Linked DNA regions of Arabidopsis thaliana. The main gene of each other region encodes a partner of the protein of the gene in region 3 in a complex. Each region holds a gene or a part of one and is shown on either strand. Other genes may lie near its edges.

Region 1 (6,513 bases), on a different chromosome or scaffold from region 3:
AATGAATCGAATCGATCAATTCATTCATCAACCTCGAACTCTTCTCAATCCTATCAATCTCCTTAAGCAAACCACAACAATTCTTCCTATCTCTTCTCTTAGATTCCTCAACAATCTTATCGTGCAACGACATAACCGGAGCTGCCCATTGGAAATGCCTAGGCACAAAGAAGTTAACTTGCAATCCACGGTCTTGACAAGGAATCGCAGCTACCAAAACCCACATCACAAAAAGCAAAACCGAAGTCATTGTGTAAACCGGTACAGCTAAACCATTGCTAGCAACGACATCGTTTGGTCGAGGCGTTGCCAAGTTACTCGCTAAAGCTTGTAACTGCTTAGAAGCTGACCATGATCTTGAAACACTCCAAGAAAGAGATCTGAAATGACCAATCGAACGGTGGTGACTGTCTTTGACTCTTCCGAATGAACGGTTACGATGAGCTAGATTGGTTCCAGAAGGATGATCTTTCTCGTCAAGCATTCCGATTGCTAAATCAATCAGAGCTTTCTTAGCTCGCCGGAGCTGACCTTCTCCGATCGGACGGTGACTATCTAAAGCAGAGATCACAATATCGGCAAGTTTCTCCCATTGACGGATCTGTTCGATACCGTCGCGGATGGCGTTACAGACATCTAGAGCTTTGATGCTCCGTTCGAAGTAATCTGAAATCAAACGGTCCATCGGAGATTTAGAGATCTGAGATCGGTGGTTGAATACGATAGCTCGAAACTCTTCTTGACAACAGAGGAAAGAATCAAGAAGCTTTCCGATCCATTCGAGAGAGAGAAGGTCGTTTGAAGAAGCGTTGAGATCGATGAATTTCTCAGCGACTTGTCTTTGAAACGAATCTAGCTCAACCTCCATGGTGCTTGGCTCGTGGTGGCTACTACTTCCGGAGACGACTGTTGATGAGTCAACTTGGTCTCGCCGTAAACTTAGCAACGACCTTCCAAATGATCCTTGAAAATCCGTAGCTGGCATCCTCAAAACAGATGCAAAGTGGGAAAAACAATCAGATTTTTGTTTCTGTAGAAAATTCTCAGACTTGTAAAAAAAGAAGAAGACTTTTTTTTTCTTTGTTGGATTGAGAGAGAGTGATGATGATGATTGATGAAAGCTAGAAGAAGAAGAGATGTGTTTATAAAGCGAGAATTTTGACCGCGTATTTTAATATCTGCTTTAGAAACATTCAATATTGGATAATTTTCTCATTTTCCTTAACTAAATAAAAAGAAAGGTGTGACGAAATAAAAGCTATAATTTGATTTGTTGTGTGTTCTCATTCCTTTTTTATTTTCTCTTTTTGTTACTCGGTACAGTACACGCAGTGGACACGTCTAGTGGTAATAAAATAAAAGTACACAGATCTGTCTGTAATAAAATCTCAGTTTGAGGAAATTCATTGGTCACGGGGCTGTGGTATATGAAGTCGAGAATGAGACATTAATGGGTGCCACGTGGAGAAAATGGGAGCTGTGACAGAGACTTGGTCAATGCAATGCACATGTGGATAAAAAGCCAGCTAAGTCTTCGTTGGCGTGTATTGAAGAGAGAGATTGGTAAGTAAAGGGACTCGGTCCTGGTTGATTCTTTCTCGTCGTTCTAGAATGCTCAAGGACACAAAAATGTTGACATGTAATTTTGTCTATATCCTTTTTTTTTTTGGTTTAATGTTAAACTTTACACCAAATAAAAAAAAAGGTGTACATTGTACAATGAAAATCTCAAAAACACACCAAAAAAGGCTAATATAACATTTTATTAAAAGAGATAACTATGAGTTGTATCACAACTAATGAGGTGAATTGATAGAACCAAAGTAAAACTCAAGGAGAGAAATGCTGATAGTGATATCCTCCAGCGAGAAGGAGATGAGACGACTGCGTATAGTGCGTAACAAGAGACTCAGTAGCATGGATGGTACTAGATTCATTTGAGAAAATCGTTTTATTACGCTCATTATTAATCAGATAGATCGAGGTTTGAAGAAGGAGTTTCAAGATCTTACTTACAAAATGTGGAGGTGTGGATTGAACATTCAAGATCCACAAGGAGGCTGACGGAAACGAGATTGTCTATATAATCGTATGATAGTATAAATTTTGTGTTGAAATGTGTAATGGTGTTTTTTGGTAACCGAAAATTGAAATGTATTATTATGAAACTGTATAATGAAAAAAAATAATTATAATGGAATATGGTAAATATGTGTCATTAACAAGTCATCAATCATGTTTGGGCCAGAATTAAAATTGTACAACTATAAGAATTAATTGACACACGACAAAATACACTACATGCAGTGATGCAGATCTTTTTTTTGTTTAAATAAAAATGTTACATCATATCTCCTGTCATGTGTTCCTAACACACACACAAAAAAAAGAAATATCTGAAAATTAAACTTAAATTTGAAAAGAAAACAAAAACAATAAACCACACGTGTGGTTTACAATTACAAGCTCGAAGAGGCTTTGAAACATGGAAGCACGAAGGTTACTGACAAAGACATGACAAGCTCTCCTTCTTCACCTCTGCTAACTTATTTTTTGTTTTTAAAGATTGATTAGTTTTGGTTTTTGTCAGGTAGAATCGTGCAGAAGCGTATTTCCCGCTAATTGTTCCTCATCAGACTCACTTTCCAGTCTATACGACCAATTAATTTAGCCCCAATTGACTAAATTTTTTATACTTAAAAATAATAAATATTCACTCTGACCAACTTGCGACCGAAGAAATCAAGAAAAGCAAATTAAGATAGTTTACCAAACATAATTATTTATATTTTTAAGACATCGGATGTCGTCAACAATAAATTTCTGAAGGAGACAATTGCTCCTAACATGATCGTTCAATGATTCAGAACACAAGACAACAAAGAAGTACATAACATATATTATATATATGGAAGCTAGAGAGTATATATAATGTTGCATGACTGATATAAGAAAATATATAATGTGTATGTAAAGTGGTTTATGATTCACAAGTTAGTTTTCTACTTAGTAACAGCTTCTTCAAGCTCTCTTAAGCCACCAACCTTCTGTTCAATTTCTTCGATAAGTTCTTCACGCCATAGCTCCGCTCTTGCTTTCTCTTCTATGTCTTCTTGCTGCATCATATAACCCAAAACACAATAACAACTCTATCCAATCTTATAATAGTTGTACACATTGTGAATCTGTGATGATATACCAAAGGTCAATGGCCCGAGCAAGCCCAGCCCGACCCAACTTAGGATCAATGTTACCTACCATCAGATCTGTTAACGTTTGAATTATTATATCAAGCCCAACCCGGCTCAAACTTACTAAGCATGATTGATCTATCAATAGGATGGATCAATGTTACCTACCATCTATCAGATTGTGACTTTCGTTTAGATGATCAAGGTTGTGGATTCATATTTTTGGGTGCATATATACCAACGGTAAACGCTAACCTAAAAGCCACCTATTTTTCTTTGTTTAGGGAGGTTTATCGCATGCTGAGACACATGGAGGAGTACTCAAAACCGGCTCTGAACAGGTCTACATGGCCTACTAAGACCAAGGTGGGATAGTCTGAGGTCAAACTAGATCTGAACTGGTCCACAGGGTCTAGTAAGACCACAGCGGGTTGGTCGGTCCATTGCAACATCCCTAGTTATAATTTGTATGCATTTCTAAGTTTTTTTCTTTCTTTCCTAATAGTATTAGAAAGGGAGAGATACATACAGTTTCATAGACCCAATATCCAGTTCCATCCCCTCCATCTCCACGGTACTCCTCTGAGTCGTAGAATGGATCCTGTATTGATCCAATATCACAAAGTACTATTAAGATCCCAATGCAGCAAATGTATCAAAAGATTCAGTTTGAGTTGTTGTTTTCATACTTTTGCTGAACCGAAGTACAAACATCCCCAACAAGTGAACATGATGTAGAACATATCTGCCATATCAAGATCAATATCAAAACATAAGAAAAAGAAGAAAAAAAAGTCTAAGAAAGAAAATAAAATCTCTCAAGAAACCCCAAGTGTTTAACTTACAAACATTCTTGATAGCTTTATCACTTAGATGCCACACGTGTTTCTCTGTAATGATATCACGCATTCCTTCTATTTGTTGAACCATCACAGCCATTAATGGCAAATCATGTGGCAATGCCTTTCTTACACATAAGCTTCCTCTCATCAAATTCCTTTCCCTCTTCTCATTAACATTCTTCTAATTTTTCAAATTCTAAGACGTAAATTCACAAGAATATGGAGATTTTTTTTCTAATTTTAGTCTTAGTTAGAGAAAATTACTTACAGATAGCCAATATCCATGATTCGGTCCTGAATTCTGCTTCGGCTACAACACAATACACAATTCTTAAACTTTTTTTCGTAATGAAATATTTTTGGTAAGAATATAAAATAATATGTACCGAGTGATTGTAGGAAGAAGGAATATGAAGATTTGTGAAGGTGAAACTTGTGAAAGCTTCAGCCATTGTTACTTCTTGATGGTGGCAATGGAGAAGAAAAAAAAAAAATGTTGGTGTAATCTTTTTTATTTTTTCATTTATTTTAATCTTTAAGATTAGATTTTTTGAGGCAGAAAATGTGTGGATAAGGGAATTGGTATCGTCCACTCTTCACTTTTGTGATAAACAAAATAAAAAAATAACGTACGTTAGCAATCACATCGCATAACACTTTTTTTGTCTTTTAAAAGCCCAATTTAGACAATCACAGTACACATTTTAGCCTTCTAAAACGCTCAGGTTGGGAACAACTATTTGCCTTAAAGAGTGGTAAAGATATTTCCAGCAAAATTCAACTACAAACTTTCGTATTTTACCCGTCCAACAAACTTTCCATTCGCGCAGGTTAGCAATCACTAAACACGTTCACTCCTCTAGACGTGCAAGTTAGTAACCACACTAAAATTGCTAATAAATCTTTGGTTGGTGAAATTCAAACTTTCCGCTTATGTCTCTTCCCAAATACATCATTTGTTGAATAGCGTACGTTGGCAACTATTGCCAAACTTTTAATGATATTTCCATCTAATTCAACTTCCTATGCGCGCATGTTAGCAATCATCCCAAATACATCATTCGTTGAATAGTGTATGTTCTATTTGCCAAACTTTCAATGATGTATATCCATCTAAACCAGCTTTTATTCGCGCATGTTAGCAATCACAATAACACGTCTACTCTTCTTAGCGACTAGTATTTTGTCAAAAGTCGGAAGAAAATCTCCGGCCAAGTCAACTTCTATCGCTTTAAAAAGCGCATGTTAGCTATTAAAAAGCGCACGTTAGCATCATTTTCGGGAAATTGCTAATCAAACTTTCCACTTTCGTCTTCTTCCCGTGTATATCTTTAATCTCCTCTGTTTGGTGACTATTATCCAATTTCCACCGATCTTCTCCTCATAAAAACACCTCTTCCTCAACGAATTTTTTATCCATGAGTCGCATAATGGGATTGTTCGATCTCGAGAAACACTTCGCCTTCTACGGTGCTTACCATAGCAATCCGATCAACATTCTAATCCACATCATCTTCGTTTGGCCAATCTTCTTCTCAGTTTTACTTCTCCTCCACTCGTCGACCCCAATTTTCGACCCCTCTCAATTAGGGTTTTCTCAATCGTTGACCCTCGACGGCGTTTTGCGATTTAACGTTGGGTTTATATTCGCCTTGATTTATGCTCTGTTCTATATCGGTTTGGATAAGAAATCTGGATTTGTAGCTGCTCTTATGTGTTTCTCTTGCTGGGTTGGTTCCAGTTTTCTTGCTGTTCGACTAGGATCTTCTCTTGCCTTAAAGGTTAGATTTTTTTTCTCTAATTTCAATTTAGGGTTTTTGAAAAAACTTCATTTTTGGAGAAAATAATTGCGTAGAAGCATGTTTATGAGGGTATATGACTATGTGTATCCATGTGTTGCTCTATGTGTATATTTATATGATGTGAGTGTGGTTCATGCATTTATTGTTCATTGTTTTCTATGCTTTGACTTGAAAGTTCGTTTATATCATTGGTTATGCTCGGGGAAGAAGAAATAGATTTATTTATATCATTAGTCCTCTCTATCTGTTGTCTATGGGTCCCTTCATTAGCTGTTAACGTTGAGACAGCAGTACTAATATCATGTCTCTAGCTTTGAACATTCATGATTAGTAGTTATTGCAGTTTGTTCTGCAATTGTCCACCTTTGCACGGTTCTGATTCTTTGGTCCGGAGACTTGTCATGTTTTTAGTGTTGTTGACTCATTGGTTAAGAGGATTTGATGTGTGCTTGGACGGAAACAAGTGTTGTTCTTGACCACCAACATTTGGATGGTCTCAGATAATTAGAATCTACATCACTTGTTTAACTAAAGTTTGGTTTTTCTTCCATAGTATTTGAGACATCTGTAACTTAGGAGCTTTTTTATGTATCTTCTGTGTTGTGAATCATTTGATTAGTTTATATGTATCTTCAGTCTGAATCATTTGATTAGTTTGTTATATGTATTCAACAGCAA
Region 2 (5,598 bases), on a different chromosome or scaffold from region 3:
TGTGTGTGTTGCTCAAAGATTATCATCATCATGGTTGCTGTCACAGACTCTGAACTCTTTCATGGCTCTCCGATTTCAACAGATTTCTCCAAGAAACGCAAGGTGTGTTCTTCGAATTTCACTCCAATCTTAATGCGGTCGATTCGTTTCTTGTATCCGAGTATGTACGCTTGATTCAAAAGAAAAGTATAATCGATCCGCGTCTAATACCAAATCCCCAGTTTCTGTGTGATTCGAAGAACCGTGTTTTTCGTTGTCATGTGGATACCTTTTAGGGTTGATAATCGTCAATTCTTAATCTATGCATCGAATCTTGTGTGCATTTGCAGGCGAATTGGTTTTGTAAGCTGAAGCAGTGGAAGATTGATGCTCGTCGCAAACAATGGATTTCTCAATGTAAGAGCCTTTGAATCTTTAAGTTTTCAAGTTTTGTTCAATCTTTCGAGTGTTGATGATGATGAATTTGTTTGTGAATGGTATAGGGAAAAAAGCAAATGTAGATGAAGAAGAAATTGGACGTAGATTGAGATCTTTGTTAGAGAAACTGACTGATCAAAAAGCTTGGAGGATTGATTATGATGATGATGAGGATGATGAGATTGATCTTGAAAGGACATCATCATTTGCTAGTAGTCCCACGAGTGTTCTCAAGAGGAAAGATTCTGTTAGTGGTGATTGCTTTTGTTGTTCTAAGCAGATGACTGAGGAAGAGGAAGAAGTTTTTGACGATGCTTATGATAACTGGGATGGGTTTAAAGATGCGTTAAACTCCTTTGAGAATGATAACAACGAAAGCTCTCGACTTGTGACAGAAGATTTTGAGCAAGAAGAAGAAGATCTGATTCCAGATACAAGCCAGAGGATGAACAAGTGCAAGCAAGAAGCTGCACCTGGAAATCAGACGACGATTCACAGAAACAGTAATAAGAAGAAGAGGTCTAACTCTGAGAAGCAAAGAGGTGATGGTGATGAAGAATGTCCTATTTGCTCTGAGTTGATGGATGCAACGGATCTAGAATTCGAACCATGTACTTGTGGGTTTCGGATTTGTCTCTTTTGCCATAACAAGATCAGTGAAAACGAAGCACGTTGTCCAGCTTGCAGGAAGGATTATAAAAAGACGAGTAAAAAAAGTGGAGAAGTAGGTTATCAGCAACGTGGTCGTGGCACTATTCCCTTGTCTCCGTCGTTTAGAGGACTTGACAGAGCTTAAGAGAGAAAGAAAGAAGTTCCAAAAGTTTCATGAAACTTTTTTTCTAGTTTTGTCCTTAGTTTCATCAGGAACAAGAATTTTGTGGTTTTGCTTAATTAGATTGTTGTCATCTCGGCAATAAATTTTCATTCATGTTTGTGAATCATATAATACACATAAACCAATATTAGTCTTTTATTCGATACATCAAAAGATCATTCCTTAATATTAGCAAAGAAAAGTTTGACTTCATGATGGCACAAACATATCTCACAAGCGGAAGAAGTAAGCATGTCGTCGTCCTCACCAAAACGATGACGAAAACAATAGTTGGGAAAGATCTCGGTTCGACCATCGCAATTGCAGTTCTCACGAACATAGCTTTTTTGTAGGTGTCTCATCATCGGTTCGCCCCACCACCACATATTTCTGATATGTGTCCGATGTTTTTCCATCTCCTTGATCGTATTTGACAACATCAAAGGTTTTCGTAGAGAAGACAAGATCTTGAAACCATTTTGTTTTGTTTTGCCACCAAGACAAATTAGGATCAACCCATAAACATATTGTGCTTCTTGATTTCCATTGTTTGCAGTTTTTGCTATATGTTTGAGTCCTCTGTCTCGTTGACGTTCATGACTATCCCGATGAAAGTAATCGACAAGTCCTTTACGGTATATAGCCTCTAGGTTTCCACTCTTGCGACATCTTTTGAAAAAATTGTGAAATTTTTTACGGTTGCGCCATGGTAAAAGAGGGATTTTATTGAGGGAAAGCCGCTGCAGAATGTATCGATCGTTGCTGATACGTTTAAACGATTTCGAAACTAATTGAAGATTGCGAAACTCGGATAATGATGAAGCTGCAACACATTAAGAGATCTCTACAAGAAGGTCTTCAGGTAGAGAATCTAGAGAAACAGAAACTGTCATTCTGTGGGAATTCTTGAAAGAAGAAAAAGTACTATGGTTTGTTTAAGATTGTGAGTATTGTTTTCTCTCTTGATTTGTTGACTCGGGTTTTTATAACAATGTTTAGATTTCCTATTCCTAATAGGAAAAGGAAGTAATACAAAAGTTTAGAATAAGCCAAAAGATTAAAAATAAATAAAATCTAAAAAAGCTTTAAAAAAAAAAAGGAAAAATACATAATAATGGGATTAAATCCTTGTATGGAGAACAAATCCAAACCCTAGATTCTCTCATTCACCGTTCACCAATGGGAAAACCCAAAAGGAGAAATCATAGGAAACCCACTAACATCACCATCACGTCAATAGTATTTTTGTGATGATGAAGAATTTATCAGAAAATGGAAGTCAAAGACAAAGCAGAGGAAAGGATTGTTTAATGAAGTTGTGAGAGATGAGATTGGCTTTGTGTCTTGTTACTCTCCTAGTCACATACATAATACATTGATTACGAGGTGAATTTGAAACATGTTGGCACACTTCCGCTTGTCTTCGTCGTTTAGAGCACCTAAATTTACCATCATCCGTCCATTAGGTCAGTAGTTATATTTGTGATGATGAAGAAGTTTCCGGTTTTCGGAAAGTGGAAGCCAAAGACAAAACCAGAGGAAATTTTATGAAGCTGTGAGAAATGAGTTTATGTTGGGAGATCGATGAGATAAAATTACCATCATCCGTTTACTGAAGCTGCATTCTTATTATAGGAGTCTGATGACATATTCCACACTCCACAACAGTTTTTGTAACTAATTGTAACGTTGATACTTTGTCAAACTCTTGAACACATGATCATGATGGTGCGCCATTGTTATCGTTCATCTCAGCTTAACACAATCCTTGGTATATCAGTTGCATTCCAAAGGATTCTTCTTGGAACCTTCTTGACTCTACATTCGCTCGTAAACAAGTTTCTCACACTGCGGTGGAACAAAAACCAAGAACACAGAAACAATCATGACTTGACATCAAGACAATGCTACGTATTGTTGATGTACTGAGAAAATTATGAGTACCTTGATGAGCATATCTGTTGGGAGCCAAGCTGGTGCGGTGGGGATACCAACCCATCCAACCTAAAGTCTCCAAAATTCACAATCCATTAGCTCATCTTATGAAACAGAATAAACAATTTGTGTGGAGACTGACTTACAAGTGCATACTCTCCTGTCTCAAAGACACGAAGGTCCAAGACCTGCAAGATTTAGATTACTTGTTCAATAAGCTTGAAATCTCTTGTGATTTATTTTCAAAAGGGATTGTGTTATACCTCGCCGCGATCTTCGTATATGTAATCAAGTCCTTTGTAGAAAGGAGGATGTCCAACTGATAAGTACTGTAATTTCAACAAATGTAGCAAAACAAAAGTTTCAGAAACAGATTTTTGAAGAAGCAGCTTCAAAACTGGGAAAGATTTCGACTATACATTGATGCTGTTGAGGTACTTCTCTTTTTCCACACGAACGATTTGGCCCTTCTTCACTGTTTTCTCATCCACCAGAAACAGAAATTCAAAAGAATTATCAAAAATCTGTTATTGGATTCAACACTTAGAAACAAAAGTGAGGGAACAGACTCGAGTAAACCGGTTTCTTGGGGAGGGTTTTAGGGGTTTTGGTTGCAGCTGGTGATGCTTCCCCATCAGACTTGCCCTGTGTGCTCTGTTTCTCTTTCTCTGCTTCTGCTTTGACTGTGAATTGAGGAAGAGATCGATGAGGGAGTCTTCTAGAAGAAATTGGTAATGAAGAGGAGATGGTTGAAAGAGAAGAAAGCTGAGACACAGTCGCAGAGAAAGCCATTGGAGAGACCACCAAGAAAAAAAATTATGTGTTCTTGGAGTTTCGGGATAAGACCGCAATGGTATCCAAGTCTCTCAACGGTCTAAAACAGACATCACTGAACCAATCATAAGATGCCACGTAAGTGCAAACAAGTTTCCTCTGCTATACAACTAGGAATATAGTAATAGATAATGTATTCCAACAAAGATTATATTCGTTTTTTTTTGTTTTCTGATGCTTGAAAGTTTATGAATTATAAACACATACAAGTGAAATCGTGTATGTCACATGGAAGATCATATACAAAATCTTTTTACGTGTACTTTTAAATTATATGTTACATTATAGAATCTAATTGATCTGGTTGTGAAGTAGGAAACAATATATATACTGTAGGCAAAGTATTTAATTTTATAAAATTGTTTAAATCATATTCACATTGATCTCCTTTTGTTTTAACAAAAAAAAAAAACAGAGTAATAAGGTGAGCATTAGAATCTAGACTTACATAGTTGCATATATCAAAAATAATGTATATTACACAAGGAAATCAAGAGAAAACGTGAGAAAAGATTGAGCTCAATCATTTAACCCCTAGACTCTAATTTGATCCTCTTGGAAGATGGAGTGTCGTCATCAAGGGAGGAAACATCATGAGACGACGATGATGAAGATGTTGATGATGATGATGGAGATGAATCAATGTCGTTTTGTAGGATTCTCTTAGGACTAAGTTTTTTGGTTTTTCCTTCTTCAGCTTCACCACCTCTCATTATAAGTTCTTTTAAACGCTTCACATCAGCTAATTTCACCGGTTTTAGCAAAAACTCCTCTGCTCCTTCTATCATACATCTACAACAACAACAACAACAAAAGAGAGGATAGACAAAAAAATCAGATTACAGTGTTAAGATCCATTGATTCAGTTTTGTATCTTTAGCTATAGTGACTTACTGTTCTATACGAGGTTGTATGTTCTCAGAAGACATTATCACTACTGGGATTTCTCTGAGTGCTGAAGACTCCTGGCAAATATACAACAGAATTTTTGTAAGGAAAACACGAGAAGAGCTTATTCAAATCTTGCTCTAATAAATGACACAAAATAGAAATTTACTTTGATCTTCTTGAGGAGTTCATATCCTGTTAGTCCCGGCATTGAATAATCCGTCACTATCAAGTTCACTTTCAAATCCTGTTATCAAAATTTGCAAAATTGTTCATATAAACGGCATCAATAAACAAATAATAAAATCATCCTCTAAAGGTTAAACTTTTGATCCACATTGTGAAACCTTAGATTTCTTGGGAGCCAAACCAGCATAAGAACACTTCAAGTTTCAACGTCTAGGGTTGATTTTGCTAGAAAACAGAGAGATTCTAAGAAATGAATGAATATATACCTTAAGACCAGAAGATCCATTGTCTCCATCTAAACCAAGATACTGCAGAGCCCTAGTCCCACTCTCAACAGTCGTCACTATATAAAGAAACCCACCAAATTTATCCAAAAAAACGAATCAGAAACCAAACAAAAGAAAAGCAGAAAACGTAAAGAGAAACAGTTTTGCCTTTTACCTTTACAAGCAGAGATCTTAAGCAATCTCTCAATAACTTTACGATCCACGAAACTATCATCAACGGCAAGAACATGTAAC
Region 3 (7,911 bases):
ATAAACTCGTATAGAATCATGCCAATGATGCCATATAAAATACAATTAGGAGTTAGGAAATACATTTAAATAAATATCTAACGGCTGCCGGAAACTTCTTATCGACAGTCTTTAAATAGAGTGCATAAACTTGTTATTATATGTACCGAACGTTGAAGGTTTGCTCGACAACTCCAAAACATTATAAAATTTTGTCAGCTAACTTACCACTAATTATTTCGATCGAGTGAGGAGTCACCTTCATATTCTTATCTATATTTTTATATATATAACAGAAAATTTATAAATTCTTGTCAACTAACTTGCCACTAATTATTCGAGTGGAGTCCCCTTCATATATTCATAGATACATATAACTACAATTTATTATGTCAGCTAACCGTTGGTATTAGTATGAGTTACCAAAAAGGCAAAGATTCGAATTTATGACAAGTTCTGTTTATTGATAGACGAAAGAAACAAAATTGTCCCTATATTCAAGATAAAAAGAACGACTTTAATTACATGTACGTATTTGTATTTGCTGGACGATAATAAACATACAAATTCAATTTTGAGGAGTTGAAAATATTCCCTAGCTTCATTCCAGATAATTATATGAGTTTTTGTATATCTACTATTGAATTATTACGTAAAATTATGAATACGTGAAGAGAATGTAATACATACTATGAAACAGCTAGCTAAGTTGAGAGGGGAGGTGGCACAACTCCTCCAATAAGGAGACAGCCTCACACGCGTATTCCAATCGGCGCCGTCATATTGCCACGTATACAATTGAACGCTCGAGATCTCTTCCCCATACGTGTGAAGCTGTCTCGTAGTGAGTAAATATTAACTTTATAAATCTCCACGATGGTTCTTGCTATTTTTATATATCACCTTTAAATTTTGCTAAATTTGATCATTGATCCTAATTAATTTAATAATGAACCGACTATTAATTATGCTTTAGATAAATTAGTATGAATTCGTTAATAAATGCATGGCTCTCTCACCTTCTTTCTGTCTTCCTTGTGAAGAACAACAAGATTTAAATAAAAATACCTAAAGTTATTATTCCATGATTTAGTTGTATTCACATCACATGGATTCCCTTTTCCCTACAAAGCTTACCTTCGTATATATGCTAAGTTAAAATAGTAACATATATACATTTGTTCAACAATTGGATACAAATATGAACCAAAAAAACAATTGGTTACAAAAATACTTTAAATGATTGAATTTAGTATGGTTTTAAAGCGTATATATCCCTTTAGTTCCACTTTTCCCATCAAATATCTTCTTAACTAAACCACAAGGTCTTTGGCAATTGGCATATATATTGCTTACGGTCTAAGTTCTTAAAGACATCTTTTTCTATTTTTTATAAAGTTGGCCAAATTTGTGTCAATTATAAACACAACAACATACTTTTTCTTTCGTACCAATACAATTATATACACAAAAGTAATTCTTTATTAAAATATCAAATTAAGGCCTTTATAAGTCGAGGCAACCAAGCTAACAACTCATTGCAAACTGAAACCAAAACAAATATCTATACAAACACATAACACATATTGAGAGCCAGAGTGAAAAGAATTATACCCATTACTAATCGCCTTTATCTGTGAATTTTCTTGATAAAAAGAAGACACAAGTCAAAGATAAAATCAACAAGATGGGAGTTGGGGGAACGTTGGAGTATATATCAGAGCTAATAGGGAATGGAGGAAGCCATAGTTATGGAAAAAGGAAGAAGAAGAAGCAGTTTCAAACAGTAGAGCTCAAAGTTAGGATGGATTGTGATGGTTGTGTCCTCAAAATCAAAAACTCTCTTTCTTCTCTAAAAGGTAACTAGCTTCTTCTTTTATAATCAAAATTCTCGTCCGAATTTGTGTTACTGTCCCTTATGAGATGTGTTTGCTTACTCCTATCTAAAACTTATATAAATACATGCATCAATCATCATGCATGCATATATATAACATGAAAAATCTTCCTTCATATATTTTCAGGAGTGAAAACGGTGGAGATAAACAAGAAGCAACAGAAGGTGACAGTGAGTGGTTATGCGGATGCGAGCAAGGTGCTGAAGAAGGCTAAAGCGACGGGGAAGAAAGCCGAGATATGGCCGTACGTACCGTACAACTTGGTGGCTCAGCCGTACATAGCTCAGGCTTATGATAAGAAAGCACCGCCTGGTTACGTCAGAAAAGTTGACCCAAACGTCACCACCGGGACGATGGCTGTTTACTACGATGACCCTTCTTATACTTCTTTGTTTAGTGATGATAATCCTAATGCTTGCTCTATTATGTAGTTTTTTTTTATTTATTAGATAATTTATAAAGGAATTTATATAATATATGCCGGTAATATATGCATAAATGTGGGTTATAAATTTTGGTGTTTGTTCTCTTTTAGTTCATGGTTTTGTCTTCTTTTGCATGTGCTCTTTGTTGGTGTTACAAGTGAATGTTTTATTAATATTAATATAGATCTAGTATTATATTAGCTTAATCAATTGGATATCGTAAGTAATCATTGTTTACTATCATTGGAAGATATAAGTGGAAACTAGTTAATTTTTTCTATGCTAGTTTCAAACTTACAAAACAATAACAAAGACGTTTGTTTTTGGTTAAGGTGTTTCATGGTCTTTTAATTTGAGTTTAGTTTTTTGGGACCCCAATATTCTAACTCTTTTCACCCACTCTCTTTCTCTTTTACATACATTATTAAAAGAAAAATCCAAAAATGGATAGTAAAGATCGATCACATAAAGCTTAAAAAAACTGTGTATCATAACATACACGGGTCATGTAATCTTTCTATACATACAACTACCCCCACCATACTATATTTTAAAGGACTTATTCAACAATTTTTACTGATATGATTCTTGCTCTTCAGTCTTCAGGTGTAAACAAAGTAAGAGCATCCTCAACAATAAGCTCTTATTAAAAACCTCTTAACAACAATAACAATGATTATTTTATTATAATATTATTATATAAATAAATTTTAAGTTTAAGAAAAAAATGAACCAATGTATAAGTGACATGTGGCTTAGGTGGTTTACTTGATTATTAAAAACCTCTCTTCATTCTCTTATCTAAGAGCTCCTCTTCATTTTTTCTCTTCTTCTTTCCATGTTTTTATTTTTATATTACTAGATGAATTCCCACGCTACGCGTGGGTTTGTTTTAAAAATTCTTTAGATAAAAATATGTTAATTATTTTTGTCGCTAATTTATGTTTACTTTTTGTTTGTTATTTTATACTTAGTAAAATTAGACTCATCTTATGTACTTACATTTTTATTGTTAGATTCATTTTTGACTCTAAATATCAATTTTTATATATTTTCATGTATAATCTGATTATTTTTATATCCAAAATTCTAAAATTTGTTCATTATCATGAATACACACAATAAGAATATAAGATATTTTGATTTCAAGAGTTTTCGTATGAAAAAAAAGAAGCAAAAATTAAAGAGTTATTTTAGTAACACTTTTTAGATTTTATACTATTGCATATAGCCGTATAAGACAAATGGATTTGTTTTGAATTTTGTGGTATGTTTAACGTCTCAAAAGTCTATTACTTAAAAATATTGAATGTCAATGTTACGAACTTACCTAAAGATACAAAAATAAAAATACAGAATTTCATATGATAAGATATGAACCATAACGTAATAATAATTAAAAAATCAAGGTAAAATAACTACACTAATATTAGGTAGCAAACAAATAAACTACAACATAAACAACTATTTAGTCATTATAGAGTGATGACCATTGACCATTAAAATTTTTAAAAATAAAAAATAATAAAAGTAAAATAAAAGTAGTAATTGATTTATTTAAATAAGTAATTTTATTTATATTTATATTTTGAAAAAATCATTTAAGAAATGAATTAATGGAGGATTTAACACAATATGAGATTTTTTATTTTCTCTCAATTAATTTTGCTAATTTTAATTTAATCAATATTAAATGACACATGATATTTTCTTATGTGATGATGTGTCACCCATATGGAGAGAGTTGGCCAACTTTCATATATATGATTTCTTTAAAAACCTCATTTATCTTAGAACCCTCCATTGAGGATGGCCTAACATCAGCCTTTAAGAACCTCCGGTACGCTGTAAATTAGCTCATGCACTGTGTTTTTCCTGGAAAATCGAAAAATGAAGATTTGTCTTATGTATTTTCAACATGCTCAAGTAGGCAAGAACCAAAGTTTTACACTTTTTTTGGCCTTAAGATTCATGAGTTGTTGTGAGGGGACCAATTACAGAGATATGACACCGATGAAAAACCACATCACACAACTTTATTCTAGACTCTGTACATCTTTGTGACACAAGCTGCATCACTTACCAAGACTGAATCTAACCTAACACGCGCTTATACATTTATGCAAGTATATGATTTTCCAAGGTCATAACTTAACAAAAAGACAGATCTGCACAGAGAAGATGTGTCTTGTTCTTTAATAGGAGGTTAGACATTGGATTCAGTTGGAAATCATCAATGTTTTAGGTTACAGAAATTATAATCTGAAGCTTGTCAAAAGTAATCACCTGGTGATATACATCACATACATAGTTGTTTGTTCCTTTACCAAACGGGATTGGAGTTGGCTTCATCTTGTATTACTTCCTGGGTAGATCTCAACAAAGTTGATATCATAGAGCAAAGTTGCATTGCCAGGTATGTTGCAGTCACCTGCATAAAGAGTCGATTTATTACTCGAGATACATATCTTACATATACAAGTGAAACTGTTACAGAGGAATTGTGCAAGTACCAGAAAAGCATCCTGCAGGCTCTGGTCCATAAGCTAACTTAGGTGGAATCTGAAGTTTACGCTTTCCGCCTGCAAAATAAAACCGCACCAATATGTTATCAGCCAAATAAAGGACATTGAACAAAGGAAAATACAGTACACTTGCCTACTCGCATAGGAGGTACTCCTTCGCCTCCAAGAATCCCCTGGTCTAGTCCCCTAATTACCTGATCATTTTTGGACATCAAGAGTTTAGATATATAGTTGTTTTGCTCACCCTAATCACAAAGAAGAACATAAGAAACTAACTAACTTCAACAAAGACAAGTGTGAACTTTGCTAGCAATGCAATTGAAGACTATGGAAGCTAACAAAGAGAGAGAGAGACAATGGTTCTTTGTTGTACCTTGCCGACTCCAATTCGCATAGTAAGTGGTCTTGCACGCTTATAGCTACTGTCAAACAACGTTCCATCTGCAAACCTCGCCGTGTAATGGATCTGTGTGTGTGTGACCAACTCTCCAAAGTCTCAAACTTTGAATCAAAAACCCTAAACAGAGGAAATTAGAGAGATGGAGAGATTACATTGACGAGTACGCCACGAGGGGCTTCATCACCAAATCCAACATCGAGATCGCAAAATCCAAGTCCTGATTTTGCGTAGCTGTATTCGCAGAGAGGATCTCCTACAGTGGCGTAGTAGTCAATCCTCGTGGCGTCTGCGTCCAGAGGCGTTAGAGAGAGAATCGAAGAAGCTAGGAACCCTAAACCCACTCCGAAAACGCGTTTCTTGACGGAGAGTTTCGGCTCGCAATCGGAGGAAGAAGAACAGAGACACGAAAAGGACGAGGAAGAAGAAGAAGAAAAGAAGATGGTTGGTCTGAAGGAACGTGTATAGAGAGATTGTGTGAGTGTTAAAGTAGAAATCGCCATTCTTCTTTGAGTCTTCGTTTCGATCTCTGCTTCCTTATCTGCGTGAAGCCAGAGCCTTTGGTCTGAATCTTTTGTCTTTTGAGTGTGCAACGGTACAATGGATATGATTATGGGACCCACCCGTATTTTTTTGGATTTCTATTTTCAACAGAACAAAAATAATAATGAAACTTTTGGAGCCAATCGGCCCACAAAATTGAGAACCCGAATCGAATTATTTGGATAGTAAGATAATGGCCAGACCTAGTTATCACTCAACTATGAAACCGAGTATCATCTGAATACATAGAAAACCCATCAGTGCGACAATAGCTTGATATCATGGTCCACCATAACCACCACCATAATATTAAACCATCATCATCACCCATTATTATATATTCCATTTAGATAGAGATACACATATATGCACATTGTTGATAGTTTATGTAAGTGATGTGTATAGGTTATACAGTGCATTGGTGACTTAAGTGTAACTGGTCCGTGGACAAAAAAATATCAAAATCATTTGAACTTTTGTATACACAAGAACAAGCAAAAGATTTTTCATCAAATGTCATTATTTGTTTTGCGACCATCAATCCATCATCAAATCTTATTGTGAAAAACAAGAATTATTATTTTTAAGAGTTACTATTATACTATACAGTAGCAAATGATATTATTGAAAACCCCGCTTACAAAGAACTGACATTTCATTCTGAAGTGTTGTTAAGCTAGAGACTAGAAAGAGATATAAATTAAGCTGAATATTCTAACGATTGATTGGTTAATGAGAAGACTGAAAAAAGTTAGGAATTTTGTAGACGCATCACATTCAGAGCCGTGACAAGGTCAATGGTTGTCGGAGGCGGTCAAATGAAATTTGCCCCTATTCACAAACAAAGAGACTTATAATAATAGAAGTAAAAGTGTCTATAAAGATAAATTGTCATATGACAAAAGTAGGTCAAAACCAAAATGTATGTATAATTATCATTATTGATTACCTGTTTTTCTTTTGCTTGGGAAATTTTCAAATTTCAAATCTGTTGGTATGGTAAAATGAGAGTCAAGTCAATAAAAATTGACGTTAATGTAGATGATACACCAAAAATGAATAAGCACATGGGAGAACAGTAATTTATCAAATTTCAAATCACCACAAGTCTATAATTAATTAATAATTATATACTATGGTCCCAAAACCATATTCCACAATCCGGCGGCCGTGGAAGATTCCCCAAATTTCGCCACCATTCACTCCAATATTAATTAGGAGAAATATTAACCGTAGTGATCCCAAAACCACGTACTGTATATTGATTGTTGAAAAATTAAAATTTCATATCGCAAGTCATCGTTGTCATTAAAATTTAAAAGTTCTATATAATTATAAGAAAATATACCAAGAAAATCTGATTCAAATGGTGAGATCCATCTACTAACTAATACTTACCAACATATAGTTATGGAAAAAACTAAGATTAACAAATAACAAGCATATTAATTAAGTATTAAATAATTAACAAACCCTACACGAAAAAAGTTTTAAAGTGGTTTATACTGAAATATAGAATATATAAACGAGTAACTTCATCATGCTATATGTGCTATGTTTAATTTGTTGAGTAATCATGTCAAGAGATTAGCTTTGATTTCGGACTTGGACTATACATAAATATATTTATGTTCTCTGGTCGGAAGACGAAGATAACCAAGTACCGTCATTATTATGTTCATGATCGGAGCCACCGTAGCTTCCATTATCACCGGTGTTTATGTTCCCGTTAGCCGCTGCCGTTGTAGTAGGAGGATTAGTAGATGGAGTCTGCATCATACCAAGACCAAACTGATCGTGCTCATTGCTTCTAGGGTTTGAAATATGAGCTTGAAGAAGAGCTTGCAGATTCATATCCTCGAAACCGTTGTTAGGGTTTTGATATTGCTGAATTTGTGATCCGGATAAGAGAGGAGTCGCTGGAGTGAGTTTTTGAGCAAACGGTCGTAACAAGAGATTGTTGGTGTTGTAAGTGTTTGGCGAAGAAGAAGACAAGCCGAGGAAAGTGTTGAGGCGCGTGGTGTTCACGATGGAGTTGTTGTTGAATAGCGGTGGAGCTGGGATTCCGGTAAACTCTTGAACCATCGCTCGGAAGTTGGAAGTATCCGTCGTTAGAACCGTCGTTGGTGCTCTTCTTGATGCTC

Evidence for each region. The genes of interacting proteins can lie anywhere in the genome.
Region 1: PnsL4 (region 3) and PnsB4 share a complex: the UniProt entries of both Arabidopsis thaliana proteins name them as parts of the chloroplast NDH complex.
Region 2: PnsL4 (region 3) and NdhO share a complex: the UniProt entries of both Arabidopsis thaliana proteins name them as parts of the chloroplast NDH complex.

Annotation. Positions count from the first base shown.
Region 1 is NC_003070.9:6,458,597-6,465,109, reverse strand, and holds PnsB4 (NDH dependent flow 6), read right to left. Parts: upstream 4,708-6,513; 5' UTR 4,486-4,707; coding exon 4,420-4,485; intron 4,344-4,419; coding exon 4,302-4,343; intron 4,267-4,301; exon of another isoform or gene 4,215-4,266; coding exon 4,037-4,214; intron 3,937-4,036; coding exon 3,881-3,936; intron 3,793-3,880; coding exon 3,721-3,792; coding exon of another isoform or gene 3,646-3,720; exon of another isoform or gene 3,267-3,645; coding exon of another isoform or gene 3,261-3,266; exon of another isoform or gene 3,117-3,260; coding exon 3,003-3,116; 3' UTR 2,766-3,002; downstream 1-2,765. Other genes in the region: AT1G18740 (ROH1, putative (DUF793)), read right to left, coding at 1-985; AT1G18720 (ER membrane protein, putative (DUF962)), read left to right, coding at 5,452-5,814. UniProt on the Arabidopsis thaliana protein: NDH shuttles electrons from NAD(P)H:plastoquinone, via FMN and iron-sulfur (Fe-S) centers, to quinones in the photosynthetic chain and possibly in a chloroplast respiratory chain.
Region 2 is NC_003070.9:28,127,063-28,132,660, forward strand, and holds NdhO (NAD(P)H:plastoquinone dehydrogenase complex subunit O), read right to left. Parts: upstream 4,016-5,598; 5' UTR 3,959-4,015; coding exon 3,736-3,958; intron 3,642-3,735; coding exon 3,586-3,641; intron 3,496-3,585; coding exon 3,430-3,495; intron 3,355-3,429; coding exon 3,313-3,354; intron 3,236-3,312; coding exon 3,176-3,235; intron 3,080-3,175; coding exon 3,050-3,079; 3' UTR 2,766-3,049; downstream 1-2,765. Other genes in the region: AT1G74870 (RING/U-box superfamily protein), read left to right, coding at 31-102, 330-396, 483-1,213; AT1G74875 (F-box protein), read right to left, coding at 1,408-2,054, 2,599-2,683; ARR15 (response regulator 15), read right to left, coding at 4,528-4,792, 4,895-4,965, 5,058-5,135, 5,344-5,420, 5,519-5,598. UniProt on the Arabidopsis thaliana protein: NDH shuttles electrons from NAD(P)H:plastoquinone, via FMN and iron-sulfur (Fe-S) centers, to quinones in the photosynthetic chain and possibly in a chloroplast respiratory chain.
Region 3 is NC_003075.7:18,422,599-18,430,509, forward strand, and holds PnsL4 (FK506-binding protein 16-2), read right to left. Parts: upstream 5,981-7,911; 5' UTR 5,728-5,980; coding exon 5,380-5,727; intron 5,294-5,379; coding exon 5,201-5,293; intron 5,022-5,200; coding exon 4,961-5,021; intron 4,885-4,960; coding exon 4,816-4,884; intron 4,734-4,815; coding exon 4,651-4,733; 3' UTR 4,159-4,650; downstream 1-4,158. Other genes in the region: AT4G39700 (Heavy metal transport/detoxification superfamily protein), read left to right, coding at 1,667-1,838, 2,004-2,308; AT4G39720 (VQ motif-containing protein), read right to left, coding at 6,582-6,598, 6,717-6,755, 7,432-7,911. UniProt on the Arabidopsis thaliana protein: NDH shuttles electrons from NAD(P)H:plastoquinone, via FMN and iron-sulfur (Fe-S) centers, to quinones in the photosynthetic chain and possibly in a chloroplast respiratory chain.